Linked DNA regions of Drosophila melanogaster. The gene in region 3 interacts genetically with the main gene of each other region. Each region holds a gene or a part of one and is shown on either strand. Other genes may lie near its edges.

Region 1 (7,078 bases), on a different chromosome or scaffold from region 3:
CGCCCGAGTGGCCACTGAAGCGCAGCCGAAGACCACCTTTATGGTGGCCTCCCAGGATGACAAGTCGAACTTTGTCTCGTCCCTTGCCAAGCATCCGATGCAGCAACATATTTTACTTTGCGGCAGCGAAGAGGGTTCCATAACCGTCTGGGATATGCGAAACCTCAGTTATCCCGCCTCCTATCTCAGCGCTCACAAAAGTCCCATCAACGAGATAGGCTTCCATCAAAAGGATCCCAGCAAACTGTTCACCGCCGCAGAAGGTGGCGAGGTGTGGATGTGGTCAGAGAACAAAGTTCTCGGGTGCGACTATAACAAAGACGGACACAGCCCCTGGTTGTCTGGCGATCGTGTTCGCTCCCTGGTCGATGTGGAGGGAGTGCTGAGTAATGTTCGCAAGTCCATCAACTCCTTCGATGTGCATGGAAGTCGTCTGGTCTGCGGAGGCGACACAGAAGCCGTTTACCTAGTTGATAATATTGTTTAAATGTCAAGCCTTTTGAATTCCTTACCTAAATTATATAATATTTCAATTGTTGAAATCAATTAGTTACTGTATTTAATTTTCGTATATTTATTATTTTCTTTATATACTCCAAAATTGGCTTAGATCAAAGCACCTGTCTTACATCTACGTCTAGTTTAAGCTTAGGACTCTATATTCGTATACAGGTGTTTATGGGTTTAATGCCTTGGCAATTCCAATTTAAATATTCTCGTTTTGGGTGCTGCTGTGTTGTTTGGTCTTATGATTCATACTCATATCCGTCTTAAATCCTATTTCGTTGGCTAATTTGGAATAGATTTATGCGTGTTTTGAACTACCTTATTTAATGGATGAACTAACTTGGATTCAATGCATATTAGGCTAAGCGAATATAATAAATATAGTATGTATAAGTATGTACAGTGCAGCTCTTAGGCCTACTTTTGTTCGATTCTCCGCGATTCCTCAGATTTGTATTGTTTGAGCATTTTTAACTGCATTTGGATGCGGATTTGGGTTATGAGTATTATTACATCGTTATGTTCAATTAGGATTTCAATTTAACACGAACCCAAATTATTTTTCTACAGCAATGTTGAGTATGGCATATACATTATTGTATTTATCAGCGATAGAGTGACTATCCCCGTATAATTCACTGAGTGGTCCTCCTTTAAGGTTTCTTATCCAGATGGGATCCTCCAGATTTTAGTCCCTAGTAGAATCGTTCGAACTTGGGCGCCTTGTTGAGTGCGCAGAAATAATACCCTGAATAGTTTTGTGTGGCTCCGGGTGGAGTATAATCGCCGATGCTGTAGTTCCCGTAGTCGTAGTTACCCATGTGGGCGTGGTGATGGTGATGGGCGTGGTGCTGGTGGTGCATGTGGTGGGTGTGCGGGGGGTGGTAATGCTGGAAACCTCCTGCACTCCTTGGCTTTTGTCATGTGAGCAGGCTGTTGCCACCACCAACTCCGCTGCCGGTGGAGGACTCTCCACCAACTCCGGTTGCCCCATTGCTGCCATTGCTGCTGTTGTTGTTGCCGTGGACGCGCATGTGCCGATTCAAGTTCCCCGACTGCGAAAATCTGTGGACACCAAAAAAGCAATTAACTCGATGTATAACGTTCCAGGACTGCTCTTTGGGGGCCTAAGCCTTTTTTAAGGGGTAATTTTCATCTTTAGCATTACATTTGAATAAACAATTATTATTTCATTTAATTTCAGTTCTTTAGTTGAAGTTGAAAATCTTACGAAAATGCATGAATGAAAATGAATGATGCATATTATCTTTGGTTTTCCTTTTTTTTAAGCTTGCAACAGTCTCAGTTTTGTTCAAGTTGTTAGTTTTATATTGAAACGATAGAAATTATTAAACTATCTTTAAAGCTTTAAGGGTTTACGTAAAAGTAAAAGCAAAACCATTTTCGTTCGTTTAGGAATGAGGAAGGACGGTGTAAGTAAATCCCCCATCCCGGACTCACCTGAGCAGGCAGAGCTTGCACTGGTAGGGCTTCTCGCCACTGTGGATTCGCAGGTGCTTGGTGAGGGTGCTGCTGTCCGAGAAGGACTTCTTGCACGAGGAGCAGCGGTACGGCCGCTCGCCGGAGTGGGTGCGCATGTGCGTGGTGACACTGGAACTCTGCGAGAATCTCCGGTCGCAGATGGGGCAGCGGAACGGCTTCTGGCCGGTGTGTGTGCGTACGTGAGCCGTCAGGTTGGCTGCCTGCGAGAAGCTCTTGTTGCAGTCGGGGCATCGATAGGGTCTTTCGCCGGAATGGGTCCGCAGATGGGTCTTGAGCGTGCTGGGCCGGGCATATGTCTTTCCGCACAACCGGCATAGATTGGGTTTCATCTCGCCGCCACTGCTGCCCTCATCGCCGTCCAGATCCTCGTTGCTATCCTCCTCGTCCTCGAAGGCGGATAGACTTAAGCCCAGGGCGGCTGCCTGATAGCTGGTGGGACTTTTGTGGGGCGGTGTGTATCCCTGATTGCCCACCCCCGTGGGATAGTAGCCAGCCAAAGAGGAGTTGGCCGGCGGCGATGGCGACTCCTTTTCGCCCACCGTCAGCGGTGGCAGGGCACCCAGACCCGTGGGAGCCGGTGCCCGAAAATCCGCTGTAAAGGAATATGTGGCCGAGGCAGGATAGTGACCGGGACTCAGCAGCGGTGGGTATAGCACATTTACCGCCGCTGCTGCTGCTGCCGCCGAGGTGGAGTTACTGGGTGGCGTCCAGTTCATCTGGGAGCACTGCATTGGCACGCCGCCTGCATCACCGGCACCGTAGCCATGGTGCATGGTCATGTTCATGCTGACGTTCACGCTCATGCTGGGATACATGGCTGCCGCCGGAGGAGGAGGTGGTGCGGCCGTTCCAGCACTGGTTTCATAGTAGCAACTGGCAGCGTTGGCCACTCCTCCGGCACTACCATTACTGCCGATATTGTTGCCACCACTGCTTTGGAGGAGAGAGTTGCCTACGTGCGATGCCTGGACTTGGGATTGCTGGTGCTGGTGCTGCTGGTGCTGCGAGTGCATCTGGCCATGATTGTGGGAGTTCGGCGAAATGAGCATCTGGTGCGGATGCACTGTGTAGGAGAGTGAGGCGGCCTGGTGCGGATTGCCGGCGGCAAAGTTGTAGGAAGCGCCGCAGGGCGAGAATGGGAACAGGCTGGGCAGCGGATCGATGTCCAGCGGCGGTAGGCCGGGAAATGTGGAAGCCATCTCGTCGGTGCTCCAGTAGCCGTGATTACCCGAGGAGCCTCCTCCGGCACCGTTGTTGCTGCTCCCGTTGCCGCTGCTCGCCGGTGGTGTCGTGCTGATCTGGATGTGGCCGCCACCGATGCCCACGCCCACTCCAATCGTGGGATCGAAACAGCCGCCGCAGTCGAAGTCGCTGCTGGTGAGCGAGGAGATGGGCAGGGCGGTGCTGCCCTGGCAGGATAGGCAGCCGACGCAGGAAGCGGCGCACTCTTGCTGCACGAGCGAAAACGGAAATGGAGATTGAGACCGGTTATGAAATACATTCAGTTAGTACTAATACGTAACTAAGACAAAATAATTAGTTAGTTAGTGGAAACATTTAGTAAATTTTAACTATTTTTACATTCTAATACTGACTTCTGAGGAGAGTTTAATTGTATTACATATGGAAGGAATTTCTAAGCTATTAAACTTCCCAATAGATAAAATCGTATGGGTTAAAAATGTAATAGATTACTTTAAAAACGAAAATGATAAACTTCTTAGTACAAAACTGTCTGATTTTTCAGTTACCGATATAGCAAATTAAAATAACCACAATTTCGGTATTGGGTTCTATTTCCTGGTTATAAAATTTAAATAGTTCAGGTATATCACAGATTTCAGCTAAGTTCTTTCCACGAAACAAGCACAACCGAACGCTCGAAGATTTCCGGAGATATTGAGGCGAAATCGAAAAAGGATTCCAGGACTCACCTGAGGGCTGTCCAGCGCCAGGCCGAACAGGGGATTGTTGGGCACATAGCCCGTCTCTGGTTCCACAGGACCGCCGTTTGAGACATCGCACGATATGTACATAGCTCCACCCTCTTGATCTTCCAGGGAATCTGCGCAGCCAAAAAAAAAAAAAAAAGAACAGCATGAAAATCACTGGAAGTACGCCAGAGATGCTCGCCAGCAGCGCGTATCTCATGGATACATTTTTGCTCCCATGACAACCACTGTGCGCACTAGCTCCGCCCCTCGAGACACACACAGACACACACAAATACACAAATCGAGAGACCGCCATTTGCTTTGCTCTCTCGACTCGCGACTTTCCATCCGTGTATCGCCATACAATATGCTGTATCTGCATATCTGTGCAATGGTGCTTCCGATTTCACTCACCCAGAATTGTGTTCAGGAGTTTGGAACCCTTATATAACAATCCCATGACATGACTCCACTTCTGGAACGTTTGGGCTCAGCAGTCGCGCATTTGTTCCTGCTTTTCCTACGCTTCATCTTGATGCGTTAATTTCCAACTGCAAGGCGATGACGGAACATTATTGGTAAATTCTAATTAAGATTCACTTTCTATTCATTTATTCAAATCTATTATTCAATTTATTATTTATTCAATCAAATACCAATATCAAATCTAATCTTCATATATTTTCAATAAAGTGTTAATAAATTCAGTTTTAAATAAAGTTCGACAGCTAATCAGAAATTAGATACACAATATGACAGATTCTTCACCTCTAAATTTAAAAGAGATATCGAATTATAGATCGCTCTTATGACGAAGATGGATTTCAATTCGATTGTTTCATTATTGTTAGGACTAAAAAATTATACTAAAATTACAATAACTTTCATTTTGAAAGAAACAAAACGTTAAAATTGCTATTTAACTAATTTATGCATGCAAATCAAAGTAAATTTTTGTTTTTCTTTTTAATGAGATCAAAGCTATGATATTGTTAAATTGATAAAATCTTCTTAGTGAATTGATTTTTTCGATCTTAGCCAAAACATTGTTAGGACATTTTAATTAGCTATTTGCAGTTATTAGGTTTTATTTCAAATACATTAGTTGTATTCCATTTTTTCTTTCTTCTTTTTTATTGCAGATTTAATATTGTTTATTCCGTTCTTTATTCACATATGCACTCTTAATCGTTTTCACCTTCTGAATAGATCCACAAATGGCATGATACCAAGATCACCAATAGAATTTCAACGTTTTCTTGCAAAATATGTTTGTAACTTTTTTTTCGAAGACTCGGTTTTAAGTAGTAACACACGATCGTTGTTTTCCGATTTGAATTTTATGCGTTTTCAGTTTTCGATTTTTCGAGTGCGGGGCAAGAAGCGACTTTTGGCGAGGAGCATAAGACGGCGACTAATTGTCAGTTGCAGTTCGGTTCGAGCCACCTCGGCCCAAAATCGACTGATATATCGGATTGGCAGAGCGGCAGCAAAGCGACAACCGACAACTACAGAGGAAGCAGCAGGGCGCAAAAAACATACTCACTTAATTATAAACAAGCGACAAAAGGGCGCAAAAGACAACGGCAACAACAATCTCGCTCGCACTCACACTTTGGTCGGCTATAATGACACAAGTACGCAGCACTACACACTCGAGACCCTTGCTGAAAGCACCCCTCCTCCAATACCAAACCCATACCATACCATACCCACACCAAGCCATCCCGCACTATATCCCATGCCCACTCCTGAGATTCCATCCATCCACCACCACAACAACGCTGCCGTCATCGTTGTTGGCCAACCAATGCGCTCCGTCTGCCGGCTTTTGCGGCTACTACCCACCCCTCTGCTGCTTCCACGTCCACATCCTCATCCAAATCCAAAGTCACCCTCCTCCGCCTTCGCCTTCGCCTCCATATCCGACTCCTCCGCTGCCGATCCCGCCCAGTCCGAGTTTCAGGCCCATTCATACGTGGCCAGCTACATCGGCAGCAGTTTTCAGTAGTTTTTATTTGTCACCCAATATCTTACAGCTCGACACCAGATACCAACGAGGCGGGGAGAAAAAAGAGTACACTTCGAGAAATAATCGCTAGCAAGCAGTTCTAGTGCTCTAGAATGTTACACTTCAAAATCGATGGCCGTTCAAATAACGTTGTTTTCAATTCACAAACAAGTATCCTCACTTTATTTGTTGAAAAGAAGATATGAAGTTCCTTTTCCTTAAAATCTATAGATGCACAACCGCAGATTGTCGCTAAATTCTTAAGAGGACATCAAATCACTTGAGACTATTTGATATGCTTGTGATTAGTGAATATTTTCGATATATAACATATTATTTACTTTCTTAAAATAAAGGTATTGTAATTTTATTACATAATAAACAAAAAGTACTATAGGGATTATTAATAAACAATGTAATTGGTATGATATAAATATGATACAAGAAGTATTGAAAATAAAGTAATTCACATATTAAAATGGGAATTTTCTGGCAGGGTCTCTGATGAGGGAGGGACAGTTGCTACGGACTTGCCAACCATTGATCGTCTTCGTCGGCATTCTGCTTCCTCTTCGCTCCATTGTTTTGTGGTTAAGTGAGGCAGTCCATCGGCCAAGTCGGCCGGCAACCCCCTGACTGCTTCTGTAGCTTGTATCTGCGTATCTGGCCGTGTGTATCTGCTTCTGTTGCGTGTATCTTTGTATCTCTATCTCCGGCGCTGATTCTCAATTGTAGCCCGGCCAATGACGACTGCCAATCGATCGATGCTCTTGTCGCCGGGCCGACAATCGTGAATAGTTTGAATGTTATTTGATAGTTCGATTTGTGGTCGCAGCAGAAAAAGCAAGGAATAAATCGCAGGCCAGATGGAAAAGCAAATGGAAATTATGAAATAGATGTGTTAAGCCCAACTCGACTATATTTAGCTAAGATATATTATAGATATAATGCTATGAAGAGATCCCAATTCGGATCGATCACCTGGTTCACACGCCCGAAATCGAATTCACCGCCAATTGGCAAAATCAGTTGAGTGCAAAGGCTTGCAGTGATCGCATACGTATCGAGCTATATCCCCCATATCACCTTACCTTATCGATGGGAATTTCAGGTCAAGCCCAGC
Region 2 (5,030 bases), on a different chromosome or scaffold from region 3:
ATGGACAGTGGACCAAAAATACAAAAAAAAAATATATTGTACATATCAATAATAGACTAATAGAGTAAAGAGCTCCAGTCGAATCGCAGCACAAACAAAAACAGCAAGAAAAACAACGACAGCGGCTAGAAAAACTTATTATTTGACGCATTGTCAATGTGATCTTGATAAGTCGAAACTGGAAATGGAACCTGAAGACTGAAAACTGAAAACTGAAAAAAAAAATAAACCTCCGTCTGAGTGATTTCTATTTAAATGGCTTTGTCAACGAAATTTGAGAAGCGAATAGCAACAACACCGCCAGTATCGCGTAATGAGCAAAGAGTGAAGAGAGATAAAAATTAATAATACAAATAATTGGTAGGCAAAAAAAAAAATTGGGAGAAAAAAAGTCAGTAAGTGCGTCCAAGTCCAAGAAACGCTGGATGAAATGAAATAAACTGAAACGAAATGAAACCTCACTTAAGGCGAGGCGACGCCACAAGAGATTGACAAAAGATGACGACAAAACAAAAAAAAAAAAAAGGCAACACCCGATCTCCCAGGTACGAGCATATATATCCATACCCATGCCAAGTGTGTGGGAGTTCGAGTTGATCGCAACCAAACCGATCCGAAAGATTTGGGGCGTGCTAGGGAAGCGGAACAATGGATACCGTTTCACAGTGAGCGAAAATATGCCCACATATTAAAATATAACTCAAAAACCACTATGGAATAGGCTAGAACTACTAGTATTGTTCAATACTTAATCAATAGTACAAAATATGGAATGCTAACATATTGATAAATACTATTAGTTGTAATATCTATCACATCATGTCCCACAAGCATATCGAACCAACGTACTTCCAATGAATTCTTGATCTAATGTTTAGCTATGCCATTGCTATGTGAATCTACAACTTCGAGTACTTTTTTTTTCAGTGCTTCCTAGAGCGAAATTCACTTATTCGCTGAGCTTTATGGATATCCGCGATAAGGTATCAAATGTGTCGCGACGCGATCTCGGCGACTTTCAATTCACAATCGACAACGCTGGGCGGATGTTGTGAATGAATGAATTGGCATTGGAAGATTGGTACATTGAGGTATTGTGATACTATGGGGATCTAGGCAGGGCCAGCAAGCACAAGCGTGGGTGGGACCGAATAGATCCCAAGAGATCCCCACCAGCTTCACCAGCTACACCAACTGCACGAACTCCGTATCCGAATCTGAAGCCGAATCCGAATCCCATTCTCAACACTTTGATTCGAATGGAGAAAGACTATCGGAATGGGAGAAAAATGAATCGACTTGCATATTTAATATTCAGTTGCTTTATGTTAGAAAACCATATGCAAATTAATAATAAAGCAGAACAACAAAGTAGCCAGCGAGGAGTCAACGTATTATTCAGATATTTTAATTTATAGCCGCCGCTTTGAAATTAGACGATCCGATCGCTAACATCGGGAAGTGGGAATGTGGTGATGTGGGGATGTTGGGAATATGTGTGAATAATGTGACCCGAACGGGTCCGTCGGCTGTCTTCTATTGTATCTAGTATTGATTTTCTTGGGGTTTCTTCGCCGTTGGCCCTATCATTTTGTTAGCCTTTTTTCTATATCACATTTCTCGTATCGATTTGGTCGGCTCTTGCTGGCTTCTTTTTGTTTTGCCTAATTAGGGGAGGCGGCCTTAATATGCCCATTAAAATTATGAAAATCATAACGAATCTCCGAAACGCGCATTTTCTCACATTACGATCAGCACATTAGTCATAGGCGGAAATTTCCTGACCGAAACCAGATTTTTAAAAAAAAGGCTCCATCATATCACGAAGAGCTGAAGGAACTGAAACAAAGTTTCGGGCATGGAATAGGTAACTCTATTGTTGGACTTGGGAGTCCCCGAAATCAATGAATAGTATTCCAATTAAAGACTTCTAAGATCCATTGAATCTGAAGCTAAATAAAGACTAGTATATGTGGCAAAATAATATCGGTTGATTATAGCATTTGGAAGAACATTTTAACCTTGTAAATATATGTAGAAGTGTAAGTGAAAAACAAAAGATCTGTCAAGTTCGGCTAATCGAAAATAGTGAACCAAACATATTATAACATATCTCTAAAGTCTGAGCTTTATAATGAAGAATGAAGATTGGCTCAAGAATAAAGTTGAAGCGATAACGAAAAAGAAAATAATTAAGCTTTACAGCGTGTTAGATCTTTCAATATTATTCCAAGTTTAAAGAGTGTATTTCAAATATGTCATAGATAATGTAAGACTTGTGACCTAATATCTCTGCTAAATAAACAAGTTGATAAGAGTAATCCCTAAGATAGATTCCCGCTCCCCCAAAAACTACTTAGGTCTACAGATTCCCCATGTAATCCGTGCTTATCTCTCGGCTCCACATTCCTTGCTGGATATATAGATTGCTACCGATTTCTCGATATCGGCGGATCGCACTCACCGAAAAAAAAACACAAACAAAACTAGAAGCAAAACGGTGCTGTATTCCAATGGTGACTTGTTTTCGGATCCAACTACTATATGGTTATGGCATGAGTATATTTTACACATGCATATATATAAAGATATATATGTATATTTATATATATATAAATATTGTATTCCAGAGATGTATGTTTTTTGGGCGATGTTTATGGTTTAGCACTGGCAACACGGTAAAAAAACAGATTCTCGTCACTTGGCACTGCGTTATATCCAAAAGGATATATCTCTCTGTATTACTTAGTATTCTCCTCTGGGGCTCTTTGTTTCTCTATAGCTGTGTTAGCTATAGCTTCTCGTGTTGATATTTGTTTATTTGTGTTTGATTGGTTTAGTTTGCTTCGATTTGATTTGATTCGGTTTGGCGACGGCGAATTGATTGTTGTTATTGGCTTGCGCTGGTGCTTGCTTGCTTATCGGCGAACGCGGCGAGTGGCGAGAGCGATCGAACGAGCGGCGAACGGGGCGAATGAGCAACTGAGCAACTGGGCGACGGACGACGCACAAAAACAACCCGAGCGGCACGAAAGTTACTCTGGAAATGAATTGCGGTACACCTTCCACGGACGATGGCAGCGGCGGCAGCAGCGCAGCGAGCAGCGGGCAGAGCAAAAGTCGTTCGACCAGAGTCTGCGAAAAAAGAAAAACAACAAGAAAAAATGTTGGAAGAAGAAGCAGGAAAAAAACAACAAACAAACACCAGCGGTGGTGGAAACGAGAGGGAGAGCGAGTGAGTGCCTGCTTTTAGCAATGGCTGCCCGGCTCTCTACCGCGCGCCAGAGTGAGATAGCCGTAGTTTCGCTCCGTTCCAGTCGTTCAGTATTTCGCTCTCTCTCTCTCTCTCACTCTCTTGCGGCATCTCTCTCGCACGCCGCTTACAACCTGACTGAGTGGGAGCGAGACAACTGCTGGTGGTACCGTTTGCTGAGCAGCTGTATTTACCGCTGTGTTGTTGCTGCTGCGCGTGTGTGTGCGCGCGTGTATGAGCGTGTGTGTACGTTGCTGGTGTGCGTTTGAGTGTGGGACCACACCCCAAAAAAATTCAGTTCAACAACTTTGTTGTTGCCACAAGAGCAAAAAACGAGGAGCAAAAAATACATAGTCATAAAAGGAGGAAAAAAAAGCAACAACGTACCTTCGTATTTTTGCGCGGCAGCAATGAAATTTTAATGAAAACGACAAGACAGCGAAAACAACGCAAAAATTTGTTAGCTAACAGCGAAAGATAAGGAAACGGGGGTAGGTGGCGACGGGCGTTTAAAGGACGCTGGTCAGTACCGCTACTTTTGCTACTGCTGCTGCTACTGCTGCTACTGCTTCTTCTTTAGCTTCCTCCTCTTCTACTTCTGCGTCGCAAATTGCCATGCACACACAACACCAGCGGCGAAAGCGCGACAGGGATGGGGAGAGCCAGCCACTCACACTTGGCACGCCCCCTCTCTTTCGCCCCAATGGGCGGCCCCCATTGTTCAATTATCATTTACGCAAAGTGAGGCGAAAAGAATCGAAACTTAAGGTGGATTTGGGTTTAAAGTCTAGTTTGCTATTCGTGGGCTAAGAATTGCTCAAAAGAGGTCTTTAATAAATGATTTCAATAGATATAGCTATTATAATTATGATTTAGTTTTGCAAAGCGGTTTTGTTAGTTTTAATTTTCAACTAGCTTATAATTATTAATTAGCTTATTTATAAATTCTCTACCATGGCAGTCTAACTGTAAATGATATTTTCGAGCAACCAACACTTTTTGTGCCCAAACATTTTTTTCTGTTATATTTTTGCCTTGTAGCTGACGCAGGAATAAAAATTCGCAGAGTTGGGTGGTTTGGGGGAGCAGCGGAAAAAACCTTATCAAATTTTTATGACAATTTGAAATAGCTGACGACAGTTGTTTGGCCATCTCACTCGCACTAACGGCCCGCAGGTTTGGGCGGCGAGAAAATGTTGCACAAATATTTTATGGATTTTTCTTGTTGAAATTGCTGTGTGCTTATTATTTTTTTTTTATCCAGCTACCGCACTTTTCCCATTTCCAGGCGGGCAAATTAAATTGTTGCGGCTAATTGATGTGTAGATGAAACATGAGGCAATTACCCTTCGAGGGGAAAAGCTTAGCGCACAAATTGGGACTCGGACACAACGAACGGGAAATCTCGAAAAAAAAATTGTACAGAGAGCCCGAAATGAAATAAAACAAAAACCTAATTTTCATGAAAAATGTTGCGGGGAAATGTAAAATGTTTTTGGAGTAAAATTCACGGAGGCAAAAACTGCGCGCAAATGAAAAAGTTTTAGTTAGACAAAAACTGTAATTTACTTACACAATTTACAAATAGTTAATTTAAACTTTCAATAGGAAGTTTGTTTTTTTTTTCACTTCAATTTCAATTGTGAAAAACCAAAATTGAAATAAGACTTTAACAATTATAGGTCTTATCTTTTGGAGTATATGTAAGTAACTAACGCGTAAATTTCATTACATACGAATAAAAACTACAACTGCCAACATGAAAATTGTATCTTTT
Region 3 (4,487 bases):
TGTAGTACTTTAGAACTAACTGACAATTTCATTAAATTTCACCATATTTATCATCTCTGCTGTGAGCTTTTCACTTAATGGAGCGTAGGAGTTGTTCGTTGAGGATGCTTAGGATCAGGAGCTACAGAAATCCTCGTTAATAGGAGTAAATGGAAATTACAGCCAACCAGTGGGCAGGTCAGGGAGGAGCGTGGAGCGGTCTTTGGTAATTGTTAAAAAGCAAAGCAAATGTTATTGCCGAACAAACAGCACTGGAAGCCGAAATCCATTCAAATCGCACAACTAGCTTGCCTCTAATCCGAGCCACAAATAAGGCGTGTGCAGAGGGTAGGGGACGTGGCAGGGGCGTAGGGGGGGGGGGTTCCTTTGTTTGGCACACACATGCGGAATCCATAGAAGCTATGGCTGAGCCTGGCCAGAAAAGGTACCCGTGCTCGTAGTCAAGGACCCGTTCCGTTCCGTTTCGTTTCGATTCGATTCGAATGTTTCGAAATTCACAAATGTACACTACGAAAAATATTCTTTTTCAACAATTCTCGTTGTTTTCAAATGTTATAAACTTACAGGTTCTCTTTATGTAAACCACTTTGCTATTTATCAAGACACATTTCCAGGACTAAAGTAATACAACTTCAGATAAACTAGTATTTAGTACTAAAATTTTTGTAAGTTAACCATCCAAATATTTGTAGTCAAGTGTGGCGACCTTGTTGGGTCTTGAACTTAGACATTAACATTGACTAGAAAACAAGAATATAACTAGAGCAGGTTTCGCACTTCAGTTTACCGCTGAGAAACTGAGAATTCGCCTAAGTTGGATTCACATGACATCGCCAGTGATGACACCACCGCCCACTGGGCCGCCCTCATGCTGGTGATGATGCAGTTGCTCCACGAGATCAGCGATTCCTTCCACGCCTATGCTCAAAGAGGGCAGCGACTTGTCCAGCACCAAAAGAGAGGGAGGCGACTTGGGCTCACCCTCTTCCATGCCAAAGGAGGACATGCCAATCCCGTCCAGGCACAGTTCATTGGATGATCCGACCAGCTGGGAGTGACCGCCGTAGGCCTGCATCTGGGACTGCTCCATGCTCAGAATGCAGTCCGCCTTGAAGCTGTCGATCGTGAACTGGTCCACGTCCACGCTGAGAAACTTCATCTCGTCGTAGGCGGAGGAGCCATCGGTCATGTCCAAACTCAATGAGGCGGCAAACTCAAGCCCCGGATGAAGCTGGGGATTGTGCTGCTCCTGCTGGTGCTGCTGCTGCTGCTGCTGGTGATGACTCGAACTCCCGGCGTGAATCGGATCGGATGCATGCTGTTGAGGCGGGTGCTGCTGGAGCTGATTGTCGGAGTCCATCTGCGGGTGTGTCTGCGCTTGCGTTTGCGGAGGATATGTGGACCACTCCATGGAGAGGCCACTGCCACCCCGCTCCAGTCCCAAGTGGTCAATGTTGAGGTTGAGAAATATATTCGGTGACAGCCTAGAGGGCGACATGGCCCCCGTGCCGTAGGAGGCCTTAAGTTCGTTATCAAGGGAGTTCGAGGATTGCGGTGGGGTGTCCGGCAATAGAGTTCCACCGCCGCCTGAAATCAATATGGGTCATTACTAGCGATGGGTTGATAGGTAACAGAGATATCCTTTCTTACCCAGCGCACTATCCAGTTGGCCCAGGACGGCGCTGTCGTCGTAGGACACGTCGAGATCCAACGCACCCTCCTTATAATCTCCGCCAAGCCCACCGATCTTCTCCTGCTTGCGCCACTTGGCCCGCCGGTTCTGGAACCACACCTGCACCCTCGCCTCCGTCAAATCGATCCTCACGGCCAGCTCCTCTCGGAAAAACACGTCCGGATAGTGTGTCCGCTGGAACGCCCTTTCCAGCTCCTGCAGTTGCAGTGTGTTAAATGTGGTTCTGCGGATCATTAGGAAAACTAGTGTTAGTGCACCTATAGCTTTAGTAGATACTTATGAAACTAGTCCAGTTTTTGGATTTATACCGCGATATATGTACATTTCGAATGTATCTGCTATACCTGTATCTCCGCTGCTTGCGCTTCATTGTGCCTTTGTCCATGCGAATCCTGAGCTTCCTGTTGGTGAACGTTGACGTTGGCGGAGTGGGTGGCGAGTAGTGGCCACTGAGGTGTGGATCCCGCTCAATCTCAATATCTCCCTCAGCGAGGATGGGGCTCTTCAAGCGCGTCGTGACATAGTCGCCGTGTGTTTTTCTATTTTTTAACGATTTTCGTCGACACTTCGAGGGCTTCGCGTCGCTGCTTCTTCTCGCTTTTCCGCTTCGACAAATTCCACGGCGGAAAAACTGCACAACAACAACGGCGAAAGCACGGATGAAGTCTTTGGAGACAGGCAGCTGCGGAGCTCAGCATAAGTCGCCCACCAGCGGAATCTGCATCTCCTCCGCTCCTGGTTTTTTATTCTGATTCCGATTCCAAGTCCCGACTTCCCTTGCTCGAACCTATGTAGCTGCTGATGGCTAAGCGATGTCAGATTGTCCAGCTGTGCATGTCCAACCTTGTGGCACGGGCACTGTTCTTGCCTCGACGACGCGAATTCGACTGAGGAGGATTTTGGATTTCCACGGGGAACAGTGACAGTGCGTGCTGTCCGTCGACAGAAGCCGTAGAAGTCGACCACAGTCCACTGGCACTCGCACACTCGCGGGCTCCCTACGAACAGGGGTATATACTATGTGCCTAAGAGGTCTGACCCGGTCTAGCCTCTTGGACAGTCGTTCTAGCCGGGCTTGTTATGCCAGTGGCGGTGCTCCTCACCCAAACTGGCCCAAGTGGGAGACATAGTGAGCTCATAATTTATGGCAACTCATGGTGCCTTCGGAGGATGTGCATAGCTGGAAAATGTTTAAGAATTCTACATAAGACTATAAACCACTATTTTTACCATTCATCTGCCTTTGCACATTATAAAAACAATATTCTTTAAACAAGACCATGAAACGGAAATGTCATCCATTTGGGGGAAATCCGACAAGTAAAATACAATCGGAATTGCATTTCCCACAGCTCCTCACTCAAAAGTATGCTATGGAAAAAGTTTCGGAGCCGTTTCGGAAACCAAAAATCCAGAAACCCACCCTGGTCAACGTTATCGATGGGAGGAGATCGGATTGCCCTTTGCCTCTGCACACATGTCTGGGTCAGTGGGCTTCTTTTGGCTACTCCCACCGCCCAAAGTTCTCCACCTCTGCCGGCACTTGAGGCCTTAAAGCCATTTCCCCCATTGAAGCATTGAAAGCAGCAGAGGAGTATAAATAGCCGAGGGACTCAACCCCATCAGCCGGGCCACTTGAGCTTGGCATGGCTTGCCATTGTTGTGGTGTCAACTGTGGAGTCCATTGTTCCATCCTGTCCAGGTGACGAACCGTAATGGATGCTGCTGCTCTCATCTCTGGCACAAAAGGTAATCCGAGAGGCGGCTTTTGTCCTAAATGGATATAAAAGTATGGCGACTCCTTGGCCAGAGCTGCAGAAGGAGTACAGCGCTGGTCAGGCACAGATCGAGCATGATGCCGTGGGTAAGTTTCATCTGGATGAGAGCCGAAAGATATAGAAACGAAATTACAAAGGAGGGCGCACAAGGATATACTCCGAACTGAATTCATTTTAAAACCCTTCCGTTCCAAGTTGCCCATTTCCATTATGGCAATGGCGCTGCTTAGCCTGACAAATAAAGGAATCGCCAGTCAGTACGCCAGCGATGAAGGTTTGGACGAGATGGTGGGTCTAAGGAGTCTGGAACACCGCGCGGAGGAGCAGCAGCCCGATCGCAGTACATCGAAAATGCTCAGTGCCCTATTCGGATTCAGTCCCAGCACTCCACATCCCACAGAGATGGCGATGGTCATGCCCCATCAGCTGCCGCCCATGTACTATAACGATTTCTATGAGGATCTGGTGACCACCAAACGCAATGATGTCCATTCCGCAGGCTGCGACTGCAAAGTTACGGTTCGTTGGGATACCATTCAGCCGCGTCAGATGTTTATAATTATTTTGTTATTCCCAGAATGAGCTCGTGGATCTGGGTGGTCTGCACTTCCCTCGCTTTCTGATGAATGCCGTTTGCGAATCGGGCGCTGGTCGGGATCTGGCCAAGTGCTCGCATGGATCCAATTGCAGGCCACTGGAATATAAGGTAAAGGTCCTGGCACAGACCTCTCAGTCCGATCACCCCTATTCGTGGATGAACAAGGATCAACCTTGGCAGTTCAAAACGGTCACCGTAACTGCCGGCTGCTTCTGCACAAAGTGATTGAAAGGATGTGAGCAACTATCGTGAATGTGAATTAATTGTATATTAAAGCGCCAAAAAGACGTCAAAGTTGCTTTATTGTGGGAGAGATTCGATATGAAACAGATTGTTATTTTTAAGGCATTCTTTTGATTCTTATATGTAGCTTAATGTTCATGTTTGAGCTTTCTCTTAGATAATTTGTCTAGGATAT

The links.
Region 1: of Pph13 (region 3) and gl, changing one suppresses a phenotype caused by changing the other (phenotypic suppression), as found in Drosophila melanogaster (one study listed by BioGRID).
Region 2: of Pph13 (region 3) and oc, changing one enhances a phenotype caused by changing the other (phenotypic enhancement), as found in Drosophila melanogaster (one study listed by BioGRID).

What each region holds. Positions count from the first base shown.
Region 1 is NT_033777.3:18,367,375-18,374,452, forward strand, and holds gl (glass), read right to left. Parts: upstream 5,365-7,078; 5' UTR 5,143-5,364; intron 4,496-5,142; 5' UTR 4,405-4,495; coding exon 4,359-4,404; intron 4,076-4,358; coding exon 3,945-4,075; intron 3,462-3,944; coding exon 1,969-3,461; coding exon of another isoform or gene 1,965-1,968; exon of another isoform or gene 1,573-1,964; coding exon 1,428-1,572; coding exon of another isoform or gene 1,203-1,427; 3' UTR 553-1,202; downstream 1-552. Other genes in the region: Nup43 (nucleoporin 43kD), read left to right, coding at 1-487. UniProt on the Drosophila melanogaster protein: Transcription factor required for gene expression specific to photoreceptor cells.
Region 2 is NC_004354.4:8,647,630-8,652,659, forward strand, and holds the start of oc (ocelliless), read right to left. Parts: upstream 3,053-5,030; 5' UTR 2,746-3,052; exon of another isoform or gene 2,465-2,745; intron 1-2,464. UniProt on the Drosophila melanogaster protein: Transcriptional regulator involved in pattern formation and cell determination in the embryonic CNS and larval imaginal disks.
Region 3 is NT_033779.5:575,584-580,070, reverse strand, and holds Pph13 (PvuII-PstI homology 13), read right to left. Parts: upstream 2,586-4,487; 5' UTR 2,079-2,585; coding exon 2,038-2,078; intron 1,917-2,037; coding exon 1,651-1,916; intron 1,588-1,650; coding exon 821-1,587; 3' UTR 522-820; downstream 1-521. Other genes in the region: Ptth (prothoracicotropic hormone), read left to right, coding at 3,471-3,557, 3,667-3,990, 4,049-4,294.